Caenorhabditis elegans: one gene and its partners. The main gene of each other region encodes a partner of the protein of the gene in region 2 in a complex. Each region holds a gene or a part of one and is shown on either strand. Other genes may lie near its edges. The genes, in order: lin-9, lin-52, dpl-1 and lin-35.

The links.
Region 1: lin-52 (region 2) and lin-9 share a complex: the UniProt entries of both Caenorhabditis elegans proteins name them as parts of the DRM complex.
Region 3: lin-52 (region 2) and dpl-1 share a complex: the UniProt entries of both Caenorhabditis elegans proteins name them as parts of the DRM complex.
Region 4: lin-52 (region 2) and lin-35 share a complex: the UniProt entries of both Caenorhabditis elegans proteins name them as parts of the DRM complex.

Annotation. Positions count from the first base shown.
Region 1 is NC_003281.10:8,899,281-8,905,687, forward strand, and holds lin-9 (Protein lin-9), read right to left. Parts: upstream 4,852-6,407; 5' UTR 4,846-4,851; coding exon 4,789-4,845; intron 4,680-4,788; coding exon 4,561-4,679; intron 4,512-4,560; coding exon 4,379-4,511; intron 4,339-4,378; coding exon 3,736-4,338; intron 3,692-3,735; coding exon 3,533-3,691; intron 3,058-3,532; coding exon 2,647-3,057; intron 2,569-2,646; coding exon 2,464-2,568; intron 2,418-2,463; coding exon 2,268-2,417; intron 1,513-2,267; coding exon 1,315-1,512; 3' UTR 958-1,314; downstream 1-957. Other genes in the region: unc-32 (V-type proton ATPase 116 kDa subunit a 1), read left to right, coding at 6,348-6,407. UniProt on the Caenorhabditis elegans protein: Synthetic multivulva class B (synMuvB) protein. SynMuvB proteins are required to repress the induction of vulval development by Ras signaling and probably act by forming the multiprotein DRM complex that represses transcription.
Region 2 is NC_003281.10:9,823,503-9,827,104, forward strand, and holds lin-52 (Protein lin-52), read right to left. Parts: upstream 1,249-3,602; 5' UTR 1,242-1,248; coding exon 1,136-1,241; intron 1,083-1,135; coding exon 909-1,082; intron 862-908; coding exon 656-861; 3' UTR 581-655; downstream 1-580. Other genes in the region: arl-5 (ADP-ribosylation factor-like protein 5), read left to right, coding at 1-158, 207-472; ZK632.9 (uncharacterized protein), read right to left, coding at 1,623-1,623, 1,679-1,812, 1,862-1,915; UPF0057 membrane protein ZK632.10, read right to left, coding at 3,146-3,193, 3,410-3,562. UniProt on the Caenorhabditis elegans protein: Synthetic multivulva class B (synMuvB) protein. SynMuvB proteins are required to repress the induction of vulval development by Ras signaling and probably act by forming the multiprotein DRM complex that represses transcription.
Region 3 is NC_003280.10:9,167,980-9,173,405, reverse strand, and holds dpl-1 (Transcription factor dpl-1), read right to left. Parts: upstream 3,497-5,426; 5' UTR 3,450-3,496; coding exon 3,441-3,449; intron 3,395-3,440; coding exon 3,059-3,394; intron 3,011-3,058; coding exon 2,745-3,010; intron 2,702-2,744; coding exon 2,633-2,701; intron 2,584-2,632; coding exon 2,486-2,583; intron 2,443-2,485; coding exon 2,329-2,442; intron 2,282-2,328; coding exon 2,087-2,281; intron 2,043-2,086; coding exon 1,858-2,042; intron 1,812-1,857; coding exon 1,650-1,811; intron 1,602-1,649; coding exon 1,343-1,601; intron 1,299-1,342; coding exon 1,195-1,298; 3' UTR 841-1,194; downstream 1-840. Other genes in the region: sec-5 (Exocyst complex component 2), read left to right, coding at 1-84; T23G7.2 (Calcineurin-like phosphoesterase domain-containing protein), read left to right, coding at 481-555, 607-672, 724-825, 4,014-4,106, 4,157-4,261, 4,312-4,400, 4,453-4,737, 4,784-4,903 and 1 more. UniProt on the Caenorhabditis elegans protein: Synthetic multivulva class B (synMuvB) protein. SynMuvB proteins are required to repress the induction of vulval development by Ras signaling and probably act by forming the multiprotein DRM complex that represses transcription.
Region 4 is NC_003279.8:5,806,137-5,811,165, reverse strand, and holds the start of lin-35 (Retinoblastoma-like protein homolog lin-35), read right to left. Parts: upstream 3,458-5,029; 5' UTR 3,437-3,457; coding exon 3,379-3,436; intron 3,127-3,378; coding exon 3,031-3,126; intron 2,746-3,030; exon of another isoform or gene 2,669-2,745; coding exon of another isoform or gene 2,528-2,668; intron 2,220-2,527; coding exon of another isoform or gene 1,988-2,219; intron 1,944-1,987; coding exon of another isoform or gene 1,769-1,943; intron 1,724-1,768; coding exon of another isoform or gene 1,630-1,723; intron 1,527-1,629; coding exon of another isoform or gene 1,347-1,526; intron 1,300-1,346; coding exon of another isoform or gene 1,171-1,299; exon of another isoform or gene 1,164-1,170; intron 1-1,163. Other genes in the region: C32F10.4 (uncharacterized protein), read left to right, coding at 1,171-1,299, 1,347-1,526, 1,630-1,723, 1,769-1,943, 1,988-2,219, 2,528-2,668; vps-51 (Vacuolar protein sorting-associated protein 51 homolog), read left to right, coding at 3,925-3,983, 4,027-4,201, 4,253-4,414, 4,474-4,905, 4,954-5,029. UniProt on the Caenorhabditis elegans protein: Key regulator of cell division which acts as a transcriptional repressor and negatively regulates cell cycle progression in its active unphosphorylated form, but allows cell cycle progression when phosphorylated.

The DNA of each region.
Region 1 (6,407 bases), 920 kb from region 2:
CATCACAAAGAGATTTTTGAATCCTTCGACCAGTGTTGGAAATTTAGTGAATTCCTGGCTGAAGGCATCCGAGATTTTGTGGGCGGTATCGGTGGACACGATTAGAACACTCTCACGGACTTTTGAGAGTTGCGTTGCTAATGAGCAACTGCCTGTCGTCTTTCCGACACCTTTTCAGGCTACAAAAATCCGTTTTAGCGTTTTTTGTTCGAGAATATTCTCGATAGAGGCTTCCAACTGATCTACCATGCTGAAAAAAGTATTTATTGTATTTGAAAAAATAATCAAATTGATTTTGGAGCAATACCAGAGAAATGGAGAAATACGGAGAGAAGCAAATAGATTTTTTGTTAATTTTTGCAGCTAAATATAAGAATGATATCAATGTACTTGAAACATTCAAAAATTTCATAAAAGATTAACAGAAATTTTTTAAATTTTAACTATTTTTTCAAATTTTTTAAACAGTTTTAAATGTATTTTTGTCGGTTTTCAGTGAAATTTTTGTTAAAAAATAAGAAAATTAAGAAAAAAAGCTAAAAATGACTTTTAAAAAAATTGAAATTCGTTTTTTGGCGCAAAAAGTTAAAGGGACATGAGATTTCGTAGGGAGCGGGTCTCGCCACGATTCCTCCTATTTTTATTTTTACTTTCAAACGAAACAACGAAGCTCCGAAATAACGCATTCGTGATAAATTTAATAAAGAAATTAGCAGCAAAACAGCAAAAAATGCGAATGGAATTCAAATACGAAGCAAGGCGCGCAACACACTATAAAAATTGATCAAAATTACGCAGCAAAGACAGTTTAAAACTACAGTAATCTTTGAAGGCGCACATCCGTTTGTATTTAACAGACATTTGTCGTGACCAGTTACCGTACTTTTAGCGCTCACTTTTGTGTCCGGGCTAATATCTTCTCACCGCTGGCAAACATAATAAAATGAAAATTCACCTGAAACTTTAAAATTTTATTTATTTTCTAGACAGTCAGTAAAATAAAAAATAGTGGAGTATAACTGACAAGGGTTTCGTTATTTGGCTCGTTTTTCTCGAAAACTGATGATGATGATGATGACAATGAGGAAGAAAATAGAATTTTGGCACATTCGAATTATCAAGGTTGAACTACTTTTAAAAAATAAGAAAAATGGGGATGTGTCTCATGATCGGGTACAATTTTGAAAAGACACAAAGTGATTGAAGAAGGTGGGGAGAGAGAGAGAGCAGAGATGAGAGAACTGAGAATATTCAGAAAAACAAAAACTGACGGGACCGGTTGGCGTTTTTTTGGACAAAATGAGACGCTTTTAGTTATTTTCTGTTCGATACAGTTCCAGCTAGTGCTCCACTTTCGAGCATAATTGTGTGAAATTGTTTCATATGAACTTCAACGTAGTCTTGGAAGAATGCCACGTTGCGGGGGTGAATAGCGGTCCGAATTTCAGATATGGCGTCACCAAGTGATTGAAGATCAACTGCAGAGATCTTTTGAGTTCCCATTGTGCGAACCTGGAAAAATATAATATTTTTTCTAATATTTTTCTGCAGTAAAAAAATTTTTTAATAGTGTTTTACCGATGACCAGGTAATTTTGAATTCTAGGAAACAATTTTAGTTTTTTTTTTGTAAAATAGTAATTTGTAATTAATTCTAATGGGACGATGCAAGTGAACACGTGTATTCAGCTCGACCAACGCCTCGAAAATTTTCAAAAAAGGCGGGAAAAAATATTTGAATTCGCCAAGAGGAATTTCACCGCAGCGCGTGACGGTGTTTGCACAAATTACACCGAATGGTCGAGCTGAAAACACGTGGTGAATTTCTCGTAATTTCTCGACACATTTTTTGCAATGCAAGTGCGCGGAGAAATGACGAGAAATGTCGTGAAATTTGCAATTTCTCCGCATTTCTCGACATATGATGAACGGTGAGATACGCAGAAACATGTGTCCCCGCAGGAAACTCCGCCTACTCACCGCACTTTTAACAGGGTGAAATGTCTTACCACCCTGCGAGGACACATCTCATATGTCGAGAAACGCGTAGAAATTGCGAATTTCACGACATTTCTCGTCATTTCTCCGCACACTTGCATTGCAAAAAATGTGTCGAGAAATGACGAGAAATTCACTTGCATCGTCCCATAATGAAATTAGGAAAGAGGATTTGGTAAAAACCGAAGTTTATTTTCTAATGAATTTTTACATTTTCAATTTTTTTTTTCATTAATAAATTATTATTCTGCAGTCTATAGTGCCACAAACCTGTAAAAGGACAGCTGTCAATGATTGAATAAGTGTCAACGCATGCACATTCTCTACATTTAATCCTTGATTACAGTGCTCTACAAATCTTCCAGCTTGTTGAGAGCACATTTGTCTAACTGCTTCAGGTTTCATATTTGACGTTGAAATCTGCAAACAAATAGATCTTTCGAAGAATCAGGAAATGAAAAATTACATCATTCGAAGAGAAATACATATGGTGATCTTGAATTCCATTCATATTGATATCTATATTCTGATTCACATGTTCCAGATCGATGATAGTTTTGGCGTATTTCTCCTGAAAAAAAATTGTTTTTTAGATTCTATCTAGTTGACTTTTTCATATATCAAAAAAAATTTCTAATTAAAAATGTACCTGAAAAGCTTTCGAATATTTGTCTGACGTCATATTTTGTATCTCGGCATCCGCATTCAATTCGTTCAATTGTCGTATCAATCCCTTTTTGATATCAATTAATTTCGTCAGTTTCACAAGATTCACAAGGAATTTCAGCGGGAAATTTCCAACCATTTCTGCATTTTTTCCATTTAATCGTTCGTCGTTCGGTCCCATTAATGGTCCACCACTTCTCTCGATTTTTCGAGAAACCAGGACGTCACGAACAAGATGTGGATGTGATGAGTCACGAACTGCTGCTACAAATGGACGAACGCCTGATGGAAGCTTAGAGTTGGCTTGTTCAATGAAGTAGGCGATACTCAACAAATCAAGTTTTCCGTCGAGAAGTATTTCCGTGTCACTAACCAGTGTTGGTGGGATATCTGGCTGAAAGAATAAAACATTGGAATTTATAGAATTTCAAATATTCAAATTTCCCTAAAACAAAATAATTTATGATCCAAAACTACCGAATATAGTAATAGGACGTCTTAATTTCCAAAGACTTCCTATTTTCAGCTAAATCATTAAATTTTGTCAATTTCTCCTAACACTTTTTATTGCATATTTTGGTAGTAATTCGATGATTTGAGCACATTTTAAGTCGATAAGAATCCTACTTTGATATTTTTGGTGTCTATCGACTTAAAGTGATCCTAAATCATAGAATTAAAGCGAAATAAACCACTAAAATATGCAATAACTGTTGAAAATGCAATAAGAATTGCATTCCAGCATGTACAAAATGGACAAGTTGGCGAAGTTCACGAATTTAGCTGAAAATAGGTTTGTGGCGAAATTTTAAGACATCTCGTTACAAAATTCGGGCGTTTTGGGTGATATTGAGTCTCCTTTTACAAACCTTGTCAAAAATAATTCTGAATCCTTTCGGAATGACAGCATCAATAATTCCAGAATAAATTCCATCGTAGGGATTTCGAATTCTCGCAAATACACGATTTCCAACCACCATTGGACGTGGAAGCTTGGCTGGAAGATCTTTTAGATCAATCGATGGATCCTGAAAGAACATTTATTGAAAATGATACACCTCTTCAGCCTTACGTTAAGATAACTTCCTTCATAGACACTTCGAATCTTCATTCTTTTCTCTTCCAGGTACATTCTTTCTTCTTCAAAAAACACTTTCGAGCATCTACGTGGCTTTCCGAGAAGTTTTCGAATCGACCGCCACTCAATACGCGTTAAATTCCAATTTTTCAGATTTGGGAAAGATTCGCGGATAATTGTGGCAAACTCGTTTTCTTCTTTGAAAATTTGTTCGTCGATTGCAGAATAGAAGAACTCGCACATGACCCATTGACGAGCTTTCTTATATCGGAGCAAATTGTAGAGTTTCTTTATATTAGCTCTCATAAATGTGCTCACATCTTCACTTGTTTGATTTTTATACGTTTTGAATTGTTTCATCATGGCACTTCGTTCTTGATCTGTACTGAACATGTTGAAGAATGACTGTGTATCTCGATGTTCTACAGCTTCATTTGTCATATTCGCAGGATTATCTAAATCATCAAGACCTGCTACAAGGTTTTGATGCATCTCAATCATCTCCAGATCCTTTGCGAGAAGATCATTACTTGGTGCTGGAGGCGGAGACAGAGCAAGAGCTCTGCGTGGAGGGCGTCGTTCTTCTTTTGGCTGGAACTTGGAGACATGACAACAATACAATTGTTTTAAAACTTACAATATATTCCAAAGCACAACTGGAAGATTCATAATCAAGAGCTGCCTTTGCGAGCATTGTTAGACTTGAGTTTCGGGTCAATGAGTTCACTGAAGGAGAATCTCTACCTCCATTCAGGCGTTTCGCGGGAGATCTGTAAAATCATAAGATTAGTCGGCCACTTTTTCGGAACAGCTTGTTACTTTTTGGGAGATCCGGTACGTTTGATACTGCGAGACGGTGATAGGTATAGTTCTTCATTACGATATCTCGATGGAACTTTAGATGTTTCACGGAGACTGTATGGTGAGCTGGTGCGATCCTGAAAATACCGAATGTCATGCATACTTTCAATATCTTTCTTTAATTTACAACTTCTTTATTTTTAAAAACACGAAAACCCAATAAAATCAATATTTCCAATAACTTACAGGATCAGACGTGTCACTTGCTGCCTTTTTCCGCGGACTTCTCACCGCAGACGACATTTTTATCTGAAAAATAACAAATTTTTGAATAATTTCAGACCACGAGACAAAAATCAATGAAAGAATGCGGACGCGCGCGCGCGAAAAAAACTTTGAAATGGCGGTTCTTTTCCCCAACCAACAGCCGATTTCAAACAGCGTGATGGTCTCGACGCGATTGCCCTGCGGCAGTGTAGCGAGGTACGGTGGAGCGCTGTCTGTTGGAAAACAGAACACAGCTGAGAGAAGTGAATGTGGTGGGAAACGGAAAAAAGGGAGAGCTGCTGTTTGACAGTCGAACGTCGTGACATTCCGTTTTTGGATTTTCTCGTGAAAGTTTTTTTTTTTTTTTTATTTGTTTTATTTCTTATTTGTATTGATTTTCCATCTTTCCTGGGTTATCATTAAATTTTAAACATGGTTTTACACAAGATCATGCGGTGAAACATGTTTTTTTCTTCCTTTCCGCATTTAAAACGAATTATTTTGTTTATATTGTTCTTCTCTTTCCATTCTCATGATTCATTTCTCTCCTTATTGGCAAGAAACATTATAAAATTGTTCATTCCTACTAAGTGTTTACCAAAATTTATTTTGGCCGCAAAGTTTTAAAATTGTAGAATAAACTTTTCATTAAAAATATTTCGTCTTCAATCACTCATCTTTGTTCCGAAAACATCTCACAGGTTTTTTCTTCAAAGCAATATTCTTCTTTAGTGTTTTTAGTCAGCGTTTTTCGTTCTGGATCTGGATTCTATGGTTTGATGTTACTTTGAAACACTATTTATAAAATCTTTTTGCAAAGAAACAATTCTCTTAAATTTAATACAATTTCCGCATCAAAATTGAAGTTTTTGTGCAAAGTTGACCTCTCGCAGCGTAATCTTATCGTTTTTTCGCGTTATCACCACTCAATCTCCCCCACTGCTCTACAATTATTTCATTTCTCTCAACCTTTTGATCGAATCGATTGAATTTCATAATATCCACGAAATGTGAGTCGCCCAATGTTTACGTTTCTCCATCCTATAACACTGCTTACAAATGGTTTCAGTGTTCAAACATTGCGGTGAATGAGGCAGACAATCAGACATTTTCTTTCTTTTAAAACCTGTCCTGTTCATTTCTTCCTCATCTCCTTTAGGTTTTCTTATTCGCCATCTGAAAGTTTATTTCTCTGCGTCTAGCTATTAGATCCTGGAGAATTACGCTCTAATGTCGATGACGTGTCGGCTGATCGATTAGATTGCGCAAATTGTTTCTTTAGTTTTTTCTAGATTTCTCTCCCTTTTTTCATGATATTCCAATGGAGCACGTTTGAGCGCATGCTCTCTTCTTGCTCAGTGCTGCTCCGTATCGATCCCTCTCCGTCAATATCTGGTCTTCGGTCCTGAGGCCTTCGCTCCTAGCCTCGTGCTTTTCTTAAATGTTTTCTCTCGAAAGAAGCGTTTTTGATTTTTTTTTCCTTCTTATTTTTGAAATCTTCATATTATTTCATGGAAATTCTTACAGAATCAACTAGAATGGGTGATTACGTGACTCCCGGCGAGGAGCCACCACAACCGGGCATCTATCGAAGTGAG
Region 2 (3,602 bases):
GACAAAAGATCAAGTTGAAACGAAGCCAACAATTGGAAGCAACGTCGAAGAAGTTTCGTATCGAAATTTAGATTTTGTGATCTGGGATATTGGCGGGCAGGAGAGTCTACGAAAGTCTTGGAGTACTTATTATGTTCAAACAGATGTTGTTATAGTTGGTATGAATAACTTTTAGTAAATGATATTAAAATTAAAATTATTTTCAGTTATTGACAGTTCCGACACCACTAGGATTCCAATTATGAAAGAACAACTGCACAATATGCTTCAACATGAAGATCTTGCTCGTGCTCATATTCTGGTTTTGGCCAACAAACAGGATCTGCCCGGAGCAATGAATCCAGCAGAAGTATCCACACAACTCGGTCTCCAGACATTACGAGGTGCTCGGAAATGGCAGATAAATGGATGTTGTGCTGTGAAAGGAGAAGGATTGCCGGAAGCTCTCGAATGGATTGCCAACAATTTGTAGAAACGTTTATATTTATAAATTTCAAAAATTGCCTTAAACTTTGCCAGCCTCGTTTTTTAAACTCTCACTGTGAGATTATGTGATTTGCCAACTTTCTAATTGTGCTCTGTTAGTAATCAAGTTTATTCATGTGAATGTTAATGAATGATGAGATCATTATTTTTTGATAGACCACTATTCAATTCACTGGCTTCCTGTCGTTTCTTCCGCTACATTTTTCGGTGGTGTTGGCTGCAAATATCTCGGAGAAGCCGAGCCAGTGGGTTTCAGCACGTTGAGCAACTTTCCACGTCGGCACTGGCGAGCTTCTTCGATTCCAAGAGTGTACACCGAGTTTTGAATGTTTCGGATGAGCTTGGCGATATCGTCGGCTGGGCAGTGGCTCATTGCTGAAAGTTAAAAATTGAAATGAATATGGAACAATATGAATACGAACTATTAACAGTCACAGCATCTTCCTTGAGAAACGAAATATTCTTGTATGGCGATTCGTAACCTTTTGATACTGATTCGCTTTGAAATGCTTCTTCAAAATCGAGACATTTCATTGGAACTGGCTCACTTTCTTCTGGCATTGTTTCGGTGCATTCGAGCATCTTTTTCTGTTGTTCTGAAAATATTTAAAATTCGAAGAATCTTTCTTTTCTACAATATAATACCAACCAAGCATTTTCGCCTGTTCTGCGTTTGATTTCTTTTCGATCATTTGTTGGACGAACATTTCGTCATCTCCAAATTCGTATCCAATAAATCCTAGCGGACGCGACATTTTTTTCCTGAAATTACCGCTATATGTCAGAATTTAAATGTTTAGAATTGAGTAAGTATAGAGCTTGTGACGAATTAAACGTTAGGCCGCAATGAAGTAATTGTATTGATTTCTTCTTCTAAAAAATAATTCTCACAAAACAAATATTTATTTGATGTGAACAAAAACGGGATGTGAAGAAAATTACTCGGGAATTTACAATAAAATACAAAAAAAAATCGATTGCTAGACAGCCTAGCCGGTGGGTACTTTACAAATTTTAAATTTACACAATACGGTTAAAAATAATGAAGAAACGAGAAACAAGGTAAAAAACATGAATCAGTGGGCAGTCGGTGGTGGAATAGAGAAATAGTGTCGGGCAGTCACATGAAGAATGATTCTGAAAAATCAAAAATAGGAACATGGTCCGCAAACACGGTAGCATATTAACGCACCACTTCTCTTTTCTCTTTGCCTCTCCGTTGCTGGCGGTTTGAACAACCTTGCGAGTGTCCCCTCCTGGCTGAGATGCGTGCTTGTGCTCCACTCTGTCAGACTTGGTGCGCTTTCCGCTTCCAGTGGTGAGATCCTAAAATTGAAATTATTCAGTTTAAATACAATATATGCATTGCACTGACCGGTCCTCCGGTTTGCTCGAATGCGGCAGCCATTTCTTCAGCAGTCGACGACATCTCGTTGGTAATTTTCTGCAACAAAAAATTATTATAAAGCTTAGAGACGTGTAAGCAACACAAAAATGAGAGAATGAACCGACACAAGAATGACCAAAACAAGTGTTATCAAAGTGAAATGGACGATGATTGGCAGTTGCATGATTAGAAAGAAGTAGGCAGAAAAGGGAGGAGAGTGCCAAGAAAACAAAACTGTGAAAGAACCGATTGAATAGCATTTGAAACGATTGGAGTGTGTTTATTTGAAGGACGATAGTGACAAATCTAAATTTTGGCGCGCGTAGTGTTGACGAAGATCAAATCTATTTACAAGTGTAAATGTTTAAAATCGATAATTTGAAATTTTCGATTAGGAATAAGGCTGAAAAGTATTTAAACAAAGCTTCAATTGAGAAATACCAGAAAAATTCGTTAAAAATTTTCAACGAGTTTAAAGGAGGGCGCATTTGTGTGGAATTTGTGTGGCGTAGAGATTTCTTTATTGATTTTTCTCGTTTTTTTTTTTTAATATTCTGACTTATATTGCGTTTATCAGCCATAATAAATGTTAAAAAGGTCGAAAATGAGAAAAATCAATGGAGAATGAAAAACAACTCTAAATGAGAGTGCGTTTTTGTAGAAAAGCTCTACAAAAGTGAGAAATAAAGTAACGTTTTCAGGCTTTTTTTCAAGAATAGAAATCTGCCTGAATATTTTTAGCGAATCAACAGCAGACGGACAGTTTCATTCAAATACTCGTATTTATACATTTGCGTTGGCGCCAGAGACACGTGATGGATAGACGAGCGGAGACCATCGAAAAAAGTAAAAATGAAAAGAGACGCAGAGCAGCACATTTTGAGGGCTGACTTGTTTCTGCTAGATATATTGGTGCGGTGTCATCGAAGGCACAGAACAAAAAGAAAAAAGAAGCAAGAAAGAAAAAAAAGAAACGAACAAACAAGACAAAAAAAATAAATCGATCGGAACAAAGCACCGATAGATCATAAAATGGTGATAAATAAAACAATGTATATCGAAAAGAGGAATGATTTATTTTTTCAATGGAGGGAATGAACACAATCTCATTAAGGCCTTAGAATGAGAAAATTCGGCAAGTGATACAGTTTTTGATCATGGACCTGTGACAATAAGTCAAAATTGCAAGGGGTGAATTAAAGGTTTACAAAGGATAAAGAAATACATTTATGTCGTGGAGCGCAAAGTAGGAACGTGTCTTGTCGTGAGCATTTAAGCCGAATAAGGAGAATAAGCTGGTGGAGCGGTTCCGTGGTCATTCTGAAATAATTTTAATTTAAACATTTATTAAGCTTTGTAGAAAGACAACAAAGGAAACAGTAGGATGAATCATGGACAAGAAACCGACCCCCTTGTAATAAATTTCAAAAAAAAAGTCACCATTTTATCAAGATTCAAGGGTATCTGTTGTTCTGAAATTTGACAAATCACTATCTTTTTCCTTTTGGCTAATCTTTTTTCCAACTATCCACTTACAGTCTGCACGTATATGTTCTGAACGACAGTCTTCTCCTTGCAAAGGATGATGTACCACGCGTGAATGATTCCTGGGATGATCCCGAGACAGGTGAGAAGAATGTTGATGAGGAGGTCACAGTTGCATCCAACATCCAGAAGCACAGCGATTGGCTGGAAAATAGTGGTTGAAGAATGGTTTCAGACTGAAGAA
Region 3 (5,426 bases), on a different chromosome or scaffold from region 2:
ACCACTATGCGAATGGCTCTTCAAAGTCTAGAGCAACACGCCGAGAACCTTGGCGACGACTCTCACAACACCTCCAACATCTAGATCAATTTATTAAAAACGCTTTCAATTTTTTCTGTGATATTACAATATTCATCATAATTTTAGTGCCAATTGTTAAAAAAGAACTAAAGCCCTGTAAAAATCTATATCTAAATTATTTAAATTGTATTATTTATTTGTAATAATAAAGTTTCGCTTTTCTCTTTGAACTTATTCTTATGTTTTCATCCCGTACAACACAGCCGATAATCCAGTCGCTTCCACGTACTTTTGAAATGGTCATTCTCTAAATTTTCTCCTTCTCCCGATAGAAATCGGATGTAAGGAGATGAGTTTGGGCGATAAACTGAGAGAGAACATTGACAATTCTATGCTAAACAGGAAAAGCGATCAGAAAAAAGATCTCGAGTGAGTATGTCTTCGCAGTTTCAATTTCAGATGAGTTTCGAGCGATTTCTCGTTTTTGGCTCGGTTATCTCCTGGATTCTGCTCACGTATTGCTCAAGATTTTGGGTGAGTTGATTTACATAAGCCCAGTTTTTTCTATAAGATATCATATTCCAGATTGAATCAGTGGAAGGATATTTAGTTGGTAACCGCCGTCGAGTCATTGCCGTGTTCCGCATTGAAGTGAGTTGCTTCTTCTAATTAAAAAATCTAATTAATTTAATCCAATTAAAGTGCATTTTAACTCTGTTAAATGTGTTTGCATACGGCCAGCTGATGAGATGGTTCGACGATGACATTGTCAAGGAGAAATCGTTGGATCGCCGAAAAATGCAGGTAAAACTAAAAATTATAATCTATCATTCTTTCATAAAAAATGATGGTAAAATCGGGAGCATTGAGTTACATATAATGCTGTCAAAGTCGGGGCATATAAGAAGCATATTTCAAAATGTCAAATTGAACACAAAATAATAATGTAAAAGGTAGATTATGAAATCTGTCGTCAATTCTAATCTGGCAAATGTCGGAATAGAATCGACGAAGAAGACTATACTATTTTAAAGATTAAAGAAGAGGGGATTTTAAAGGAGTCTAGAAATAAAATTGAAACTCGTATAGAAACTATTTTAAAAGCAGATGAGAATCGTTTGAGAACCTTTAAAAACTGGGAAAAGGGGGATAACAACTAGTTACATTAAACATTTACTGGAAATAATCGTATTCCTCCGGTTGAGGGTGTTGAATGAGAGCAGCGGCCTGCGCAGAAGTCATCGGCTGTTCCGTTTTGCGTTCAAATGTGCACATATCTGAAATTAAATTATTTAAATTATTTAAGGCAAATTTAAATTACCTTGCTCCATCATTTTCTTTTGTATAACTTGTTGAGCTGGAGATTGCTTTGGATTGTTGACAACAATTTTACGAATCACTTTCCGAACAATTGTGCCCGGCGGGTGTGGACCACCTGGAGCAACAATTCGCTGAGTTACGATTCGTTGTCCAGGTTGTAACTGATGTCCAGAAATGCTTCCAGCAGGATAGACAACTCTCTGTTGCACTTGATGTGGCTGACCCATATGACTCATTTGTGGTTGCTGTGGACGAACTCTCTGAAAAATAAGAAAAATCAGTTTGTGAAATCTTTAAAACGAACTTACATATCTCTGACCAACTGGCTGATGCATCGGTTGATGTCCTTGTGGCACGTAGTATTTTACAGGTCCTGAATTCACAGAAGTAGCTCCAGTTGAGAGCCTGCGATCTGGAGGTACAGTAGAGTACGGCCGATTGACAGTTCGAACGACGGGAGTCATATCATGCTGAAAATGTTTTAGTTGTACTGAAAAATCTTCATTTTGAACAAACCTTCATTGGTCCTTGTGTCTTCTGTACGTAATATCGTTTGGTAACGGGTGGTACTTGAAGAGGCGTGTTAACTTGAGCTCGAATCTTTTGTGGACTATAAGTATTATACATTGGCCCTCGGCTGGCTGATCCCTGATTAACATTCTTATCCATATCATAATCGCGTTCCATTATACCGGCAGCAGCTAGAAAAAACAATTTTTTTAATGTTTTTAAAAAACTTTTTTACCACTTCTGTCCTCACTTCCATCGTTTATCAAATGCTCCTGAAGCTGTCTGTTGAATCGCGATGAATATGACATTTGCGCCAAAGAGCTTGTCGGCTCAACGTATTGGGCTTGTGAGAGGTTCATAGACATTTGATCAGCAATCAACTGTTGTTGTTTTCTCTTTTCCTCTTTTTCTGCTTCAACCTTTTTACGGTCTGAAAATTGTGGTTTCCATGATTGATTTTTAAAAAGAAATACTTACTGGCAATGATTTCGTCGACATAGTGCTGGTGTAAGGTTGGCAAAAAGCTTTTCGCAGTTTTGACTTCTTCCGCTGTGGGATTTGTAGTCTCCAAACTGCATGCAAGGTTCAACTCTGAAAAATGTGGATCTTATCGGTTTTTGGCATTTAAATTTACTTTTTAAAATTTCGAAATCATCGTGAATTTCAAACTTCTTGTCGAACGAGAACAGAAATTCGGATTTGTCTGATGATACACTGCATTCCACATTTGCTCTTAAAAATAGATATTTGAGACTATTATAATTTTGGAATTTCAACTTACTCTTTATCAGTATTAATTATTAAAAACGGAAGATGAAGTACAGTGTCGTTTTCTGGGCGACCATTTTTGCTGAAAATTTAACTTTTCTAAAATATTTAACACTCAAACGTACTGCTCATTTTTTCTATTCCGTTCGACCAAATTTTTGTAAGAAACAATTTGCAATACCATTTCTTCGAGAGCCTGCTTTTTGGAACTTATGCTGGCTTCCCGTCGCGATTTCTCTTCTTCCAATCTCGAAATTTCTTGTGAAGCTGAAGCAGGAAGTCCAATCCATCTGATATCTTTCTTGCTTTTTGTGATGATATTCATTGCCAAAAGAACGTTCAACGCATCGTATACTCTCCTCCGAATATTTTTCATATCGTATTCTTGTTTCTAGAAAAAAAAAGTTTTTTTTCAAAAGAAGAAAAACAAACTTCTTACCACAACATCAATCTGCTTGATAAGATTATTTTGAAAGTAATCTGCTACCAGTTCATCAGCCACTTCATTGTAATTCGTCAATCCTTTTTCTTTCACCTTTTCACAAACTTTCGTGGAAAAATGTCTGAGTCCGGTTGGTTTGTCAGATTGTTGACCTCCTGCTCCACTAGATCCTCCAACTCCCGAAGGTTCATCCCAGCCCACAGGTTCATTGTGACTCTCATCTTGGTATGAACGAGGAAGACCTGTAGGCATTTGAACAATTCGTCTTCCCATACTCAGGGATACTTGTGGTCGACTTTGTGCCGGTTGGCCGATACGGGGATCGTAGTTTGTCTGCAAATGTTAGTTTAATATAATATCGATTTCTTATTTTACAAACCGGGTTCATTTCTACAGGACCTGCCTGGACGAATCAAGATTTTCGATTGCTTAGATCTGTAAATGATGACTTTGATTACGAGAAAAGCTACGAAAAGTGTTAATTATAAGAATAATGAATGATATTTTGTTGCCATCGTAAAAAACTGATTCTTTTCTGTTCTAAATCTAAATTTTATCGGTTTTTAAGAACGCTGCAATACAAACGTTAACCAGAACAATTTTTGATCAATACGTGAGAGAAATCAATAATATTCGGAAGATGGAGGAAAACAGAAAAAACCCAAATTTGAAGACGCGCCGTGCGTTGCGAGACCCATCAATGACGATAAACAACGCGAGAGGTGTCAAGGCGGAGTGTTGTTGCTGAACAAAATTTTCTTTTTTTTTCGTTCGACACTGAAATTTCAACAAATTGCAATATTCTTGTTGGAAAAAGTTAGCAAAACAAGAATTTGCTTTTAAATAAAAATTTATTTTGTTTTCCTGCTACGATTTCAAAGACCATAACTATTTTTCTCTTCAAATCGATTAAATCTTCTTCTCACCAAAAACTGACCTATTCTCATTTCAGACAATCCGGAAACGATGCTCGGATGGCCTTATTATTTTCCTAGTTCTCGGACAAGCGATTTATTTTATGTATTATGCCCCAGCATTTCTCCAGGTTTGTTTTTAGAAATTGTGTTGCTGTTAAAAGAGTCTCTTGCATTTCAGTGGCTTCTCTTCGATCTCACCTCAATCTGCGCGGGAATATGGACTAACATGATTGCATTCGTATGTGGATTTGGGATTGTTAATTTCTATGCTGGAAAAATGAAGGTAATATTAATTTCAATAATATTTAAATTATTTTAAAAAAATTTTCTCAGATGTTCCATTACACCGCTTCGATTTTGGAAATAATAGGAAAGGTTCCTTATTTTAACGATCTCATGTGGAAAAGAAGATCTCAAATAAAGTAACAAAAAACATCTCATTTCGGAACTTATCATTAAAAATGTTATTTTCAGATTCACAATGATAATCACCTTGCTTCTGTCAGTCAGTATGTTTATATCACGCGATTGGATTGTTGTCAAAGAAAAGACCATCAAAATAAAAAACTTCACTGCTGATGGAAATCGATTAAAATTGGCAGTGATCTCTGATTTGCACGCTGGTGCAAGTGTTTATTCGGAACAAATCAATCAAGTTGTCGAAAAAGTGCTTGAAAATCCAGTTGATGCTATTCTGATTGTTGGAGATATGGTAGATGCTCCTGTTGCGGAAATCGAGGATAGAGTTCGACCAATTCTGTAGGCGAATTAGTTTGATTCACAAAATTTCAATTTTTGTTTTCAGTCAACTCCCTGCTCACGCACCTACTTATTTCGTAACTGGCAATCATGAATATTATTATGGAGACGTTCAGGAATGGATAAGATTCTACAAAAATGGCCGTATTAATGTTCTTGAAAACGAGTAAGTTTTACAAAGTTTTTGAGTTTTTCTTGGAAGTAACAGTGATATTTTTCAGAAGTACAATGCTGAAAGGAGTCTGTTTGGCTGGAGTAAACGATATTTCAAGTCCGAAATCTGGAATCTTGAACACTAAAATGGATCTACCAAAAGCCATCCATCGATGTCCATCAAATACTTCTCAAATCGTCATGGCACACAATCCGGCATCAATTCGAGAATTCATCGTAGATCATCCGAAAGAATTATCAGAAATTGATATTGTCTTATCTGGACACACTCATGCAGGACAATTCTACGTAGTTATTCCAGTAGTTTATTGGCTTCTACCATACTTTTATGGACTCTATGAGATTCCATTTGGAGGTCAATTGATGGTAATGGCAGGATCATTGTATCAAGGACCACCCATGAAAATGATTGGAATGAGCGAAGTTTGGGTGTTGGAATTACTGGGAGAATAATGTGTTGTAAAATGTAAAATTCTCATTAAAACGGTTCGATGACTATTTTCTGTATGATTTCG
Region 4 (5,029 bases), on a different chromosome or scaffold from region 2:
AGAAGCACCATTTTAAATTTTCAACAAAAAATCCTATAATTTTGTGTACTCTTAATACTAATTGATATTTCATAAACCTTCTGAAACTAGGCAAATTCTCTCGTGAACAAAACCACTGATTTGTCTTGAAATTTGATACTTTTCCCATAGGTGCATATCGAAAAGAAAAAACCCAAAAGAGTGGATACCAGCTATATTTGAATTTATTGATGTGCATAGTAATAATATTACATTGAATTCATTGTCCCGCACACATATAAGCCCATAAATTGTGATATTTTTCGACGGAGAACACGAATTTCCGTTTTTTTCCCACTTTTATGGGTTTTCTATATTTTCTTTTTCCTCTTTCATAGTTTCTTCATAGTGAGACCTACACAACTGGAAACACTCAATGATTTACAATATTAAAGGAAATTTATCCAGATGGCAATGAATTGACCCAAGGATGTCAGTTTTTAAATTAATGAAAAAAATTTCAATTTTTTCAATTTTAAAGTAATTTCCAATAATTTTTAAAGAACGAATTGAATCCATTATATTTTTCCAATTAAAACAAATTCGATAAGTCACCAATTTTTTTTCGGTATTTCTATAGAAATACAATTGTATAAATATCATAAAAACCAAAAAAAAATTTCGAAATTTTTAACTTTAAATCGCGAGAAAAATAAAATCCAATTTTTTTTTGTTTTTGGTACGAAATTTGAACAAGAAATTTTTTGTTTTTTTTTGTCAAAAATATTTTTTGGCATCCTTGATTCTCAACTTATCCATATTTAATTGTGACAAATCAAGTAACGACGAAACTAAGCTGCCAAAATTGTTCTAGTTTCTTCCAACGTTCTTATCATTCTTTATTTCTCCACATACTCTCAGCTGATTCTAGTGCTCTTCTCTATTTTCAACGTCCCTCTCTCTATCTCCCAATGCCCTCATTTCTACAGTTTCATGCAATATTTACTCAACCGACACATGAAGAATTGAAAGGGGGAGAAAAAGAGAATCATATTGTCGTGACATCGACCATATCAGTCGTATGTCACCTCCCCGACTCTGCTTCTCCTTTTCTTTTCTCTCGTAGAGGTCTCTTGTTGGCACACTCAGACACACACAAATGCATTTATAAACCATATAAGCCAAGAAAATTGTATTGATTCCAGAAGAACCATGACAACCGAGTCTTCTCAAACGACGGATCCGTATCAGCACCCGCAACAACGGGCTGAACCACATCAGCCAACACAGCGGATAGCTGCTGAACCGGAGCCAAGGGTATTTTGTGGACTTCCAATTGGTGTAAGTTCAGAAATTTTGAATCTCAGCAAGGATTGAACATTTTTCAGGGAGCTGTTGGAATTCTCGGATCCATTCTCATGATATGTCAAATATTCGGACTTTTGTATCCATCTCCATTTGTGCTCTACGTTTTCGAGATTTCTATTGGAAGCGCCATGATGTTTGTTCTATCAACTGGTGCAAAGCGTAGAAAAATTGCCTATATCACTGCTTACATGTTATATCTAGTACGTTTTAAATATAACTCACAAGATTCGATGTTCCTAGTCAATTATGGAAGCATCAATATTCTCGTTAATATACACTTTGAGAAATAATTATCAATTTCAGTCAATGTACACATTTTGGGTGTTTTTCTTGATCCTGGGAGCAGTTATTGCATGTATTTATTTATCGGATAACAATGATAACATTTGCAATCCAGGTTAGTTTCAATACAATTTTCCGGAATAAAGAAACTGATTTGAAGATAACCAAAAGGATGTAACCACTGCGAAGGGATGTGTTCCAAAAATGACAACTGGAGAATTAGAAATGGTTATAATCTCATGTTTCTTCCTAACTGTTAGTATTATTGTTGCACTCGTCCAAATGCGATATATGATGATTCTCTACAACTTCCTCAGAAGAAATGCATACAGATTGTGAGTCCATTATTTCAATTATGAATATTCATTCAATGGTTCAGACCTCAACATCAGGCGTCAAATTACAATGTTCAATACATTGTACCAACACCAATGAGTCCCAGTGGTATGCCACCACCACCAAGATATACCGCCTACGCCCCACCAATGTCAAGTCAAACTGCTCCTCCGATTCCTACAAAACAACAACCTGTTGATAGCGAGAGTTCGACGACGTCGGCATCAACGAGGAGTGGTTCTTTCGTATCGACACCGATTTTGACAGTTGCCAATGTGAGTTTTGAAAATTTTTTGAAGCTTTATGAAATCCGTTTCAACGACTATTCATTAATCAATAATATAAAACTAAGCTATTCTTTCTATATTATAAGCTGCATTAGATAAATACGTCTTAATGCGATTATAATTAACTTCAAATAACCCGCTAAATTTTGTTACGGAGCGCTTGTAGTCGAAAAAGTAATACTAATATCAGAAAAATGGTTATTATTGGGAAACCTCCGATTTCCAGCAAATTCGAGCCAGAATGAGCTCTAAAATTCTTTCCCTATGACATCACTAAAACTCTGTAACAATTTCAGAGTGAACCAACAGGAGCTGACAATTCGGCGTTTACAAATGATGAAGATCCAACCCGACCACGTGCAACTTCTCGGCCGCCTGCATATAGTGACGTGGTTGAACCAGGACATATAACAGTCCGAAGTGACGTTCTTCAATAGATTTCACTCTGTCTTCTATGTATATTTTGACATTTGCTCGTGGTTGTGTGCAATAATAAAAATGTTGCTTGATTGGTAGCTATTGTTGTTAGTGACCTCTTAACTAGTCAGGTGACTGAGCGCTTGATAACTTCATAATTTCCTATATAAGTAGGAGATGATAGCGAGTTGTGATAAAGGTGATAATGAACTGGGGAATATCTATCTTCATAGAGAAAATTATTGGAAAAACGAAGGATGCTCTTAATATGTAAAACAAAGCAGTCATTTAGATTATCACATGAGGCTGCAAACCCTTGTTTTTGTTTAATATTTTTGAAAAGGAGAAAATAATCAGATTTAATATTTATAAAACCCCATACCTTGCTTTATATCTAAGTCGATTCGTTTTGCTGGTGGCTCTTCACATATTGTATCCGTTGTCTCCGTGCCGGCTAACACGGCATCGAATGGGCTTTCTGAAAATAAATCAATTAATATCTAAATTTATTTGCGGTAATTTGAGGCTGAGTTCTAAAAAATTTCTCTCCCTGATGGAAAGGCAAGTAAAATCTTGAACGCTGTTTAAAAAATTTCGAAAAAATCGAACCCTGCGCAAATTGCATTAATCAGTTTTTCTATTCACTGCGGCGGAGAAACTAGCTTTGATAACGCCTCACTTTCCAGACAAGTATAATTATACGCTTTGAATAAAATCATTTAAAGCTTACGCTCGTGAAATGGGTCAGTTGTTGATGTTCCAGGCTCATCGGCTGCTCGTTTCGGCATATTGAAGAAGTTTTTACCAGTCTGAAGAATATTTTTGTGTTTTTTATTCGATTAAACCCAAGAAAGTTCAGATAAAATGTAATCGAAATCGTTTAAAATTAGAGAAAGCAAAATAATTTTCAAGAACGCGCTCATTTTTTTCTAGTCGCGCGCGCAATGATGTTCCACAATTCGCAATAGAGCGCATTTGTGCACGTCCTGGAGACACCATCGATTTTGAGAAACTGAATAGGAAGAAGAGGATACTTCAGAACTTTCTAAAACTGAAGCATTAAATGTGATTAAAAATTGTGAATGTGAGAGAAATCGAGTTTGCAATTCAGAAAATGTATGTTCCAGTTGAACACATCTTACCTTCTACTTATTTTTTCGGCAACCAGCATTTCCCCCAAATTTCGTTCCCTTTGTATTGATGGTGTCTCAAATCTGTTTTTTTTCATTCTCGAGTTTTCCTGAATTTTCTTTAATTTTTCAGTATTGAATGTAAAATGTCTAGTGTTTTGGACGTCACAAAGCCGGATTTTGATGTCGAAGCATTTGTCGTCAAGTTAGTTTTCAGAGATATGCACTGATAAATATTATTAATTCAGATTACTCCGTGAAAAGTCGCTTGATGGATTAGTAAAAGAAGAGGAGGAGATGGTTTCAGCTGTGAGAAGGCTTGATTCAGATGTACATCAAATAGTCTACGAAAATTACAATAAATTTCTGACTGCGACAAATACGGTTCGAAAAATACAAGATGAATTCACGCAACTCGATTCTGTTAGTTTTCGAATAATAATAAAATCAGACAATTTTAATGTTAATTTTCAGGAAATGAAATCTCTCAGCCGAAGTATGTCGACAATATCGACTCTAATTGGGAATCTTGACGGAGTTTTGGGCGAAAAACGTGACGATATTCTACAATTGGGAAGCTCGTATAAAGTTGTGAATAGTTTGAAGCATATTTTCGATCTTCCTCATGTTCTGCGGGTAACATTTTTAATTTTAAAACTTTTTTTTCATATTGCATCAAACTAAACAACTTCCAGAGTGAATTCGATGAGCGAAACTATGGAGAAGTTCTTCGAATGTTCAAATTAGCAGAAGAGTCACTATCGCAGTATAAAGACGTTCCAACAGTTCAATTAGTTCTTCAAAAAAGTAAGAAAATTTATGATATGACGGAAAATCAATTAATGGATCAACTGCGAAATCCGGCTTCTGGTGCAGAATTAGTATCAGAAGCTGTAGATTTATTATTAACAATTGGAAGAGATGAAGATGAAGTTCAGAAAGTGTTGCTCACGTGTTCAGAACAATCTTTAAGAGTAGATTTGAAAGAATTATCAGCAAATCATTCGGATGTTTTGGATCTCGTTGATAAAGCTTCTGAGAGTTTTATTCCAAATCTCACTCTGATTGCAACAACTCATGATCGATTATTTGAGGATAAACGAGAAGATCTTATTACGGTTTTGAAGGTTTGTTAATTTAAAAACGATTTGGATTAAATTAAAGTTTTTTTACAGACGGAAATGAATTCTCTGCATGCTTTGGTTTCAAAAGTTTTTCTATCATCAAGTGATGCAAAAGACTGTTCAATTG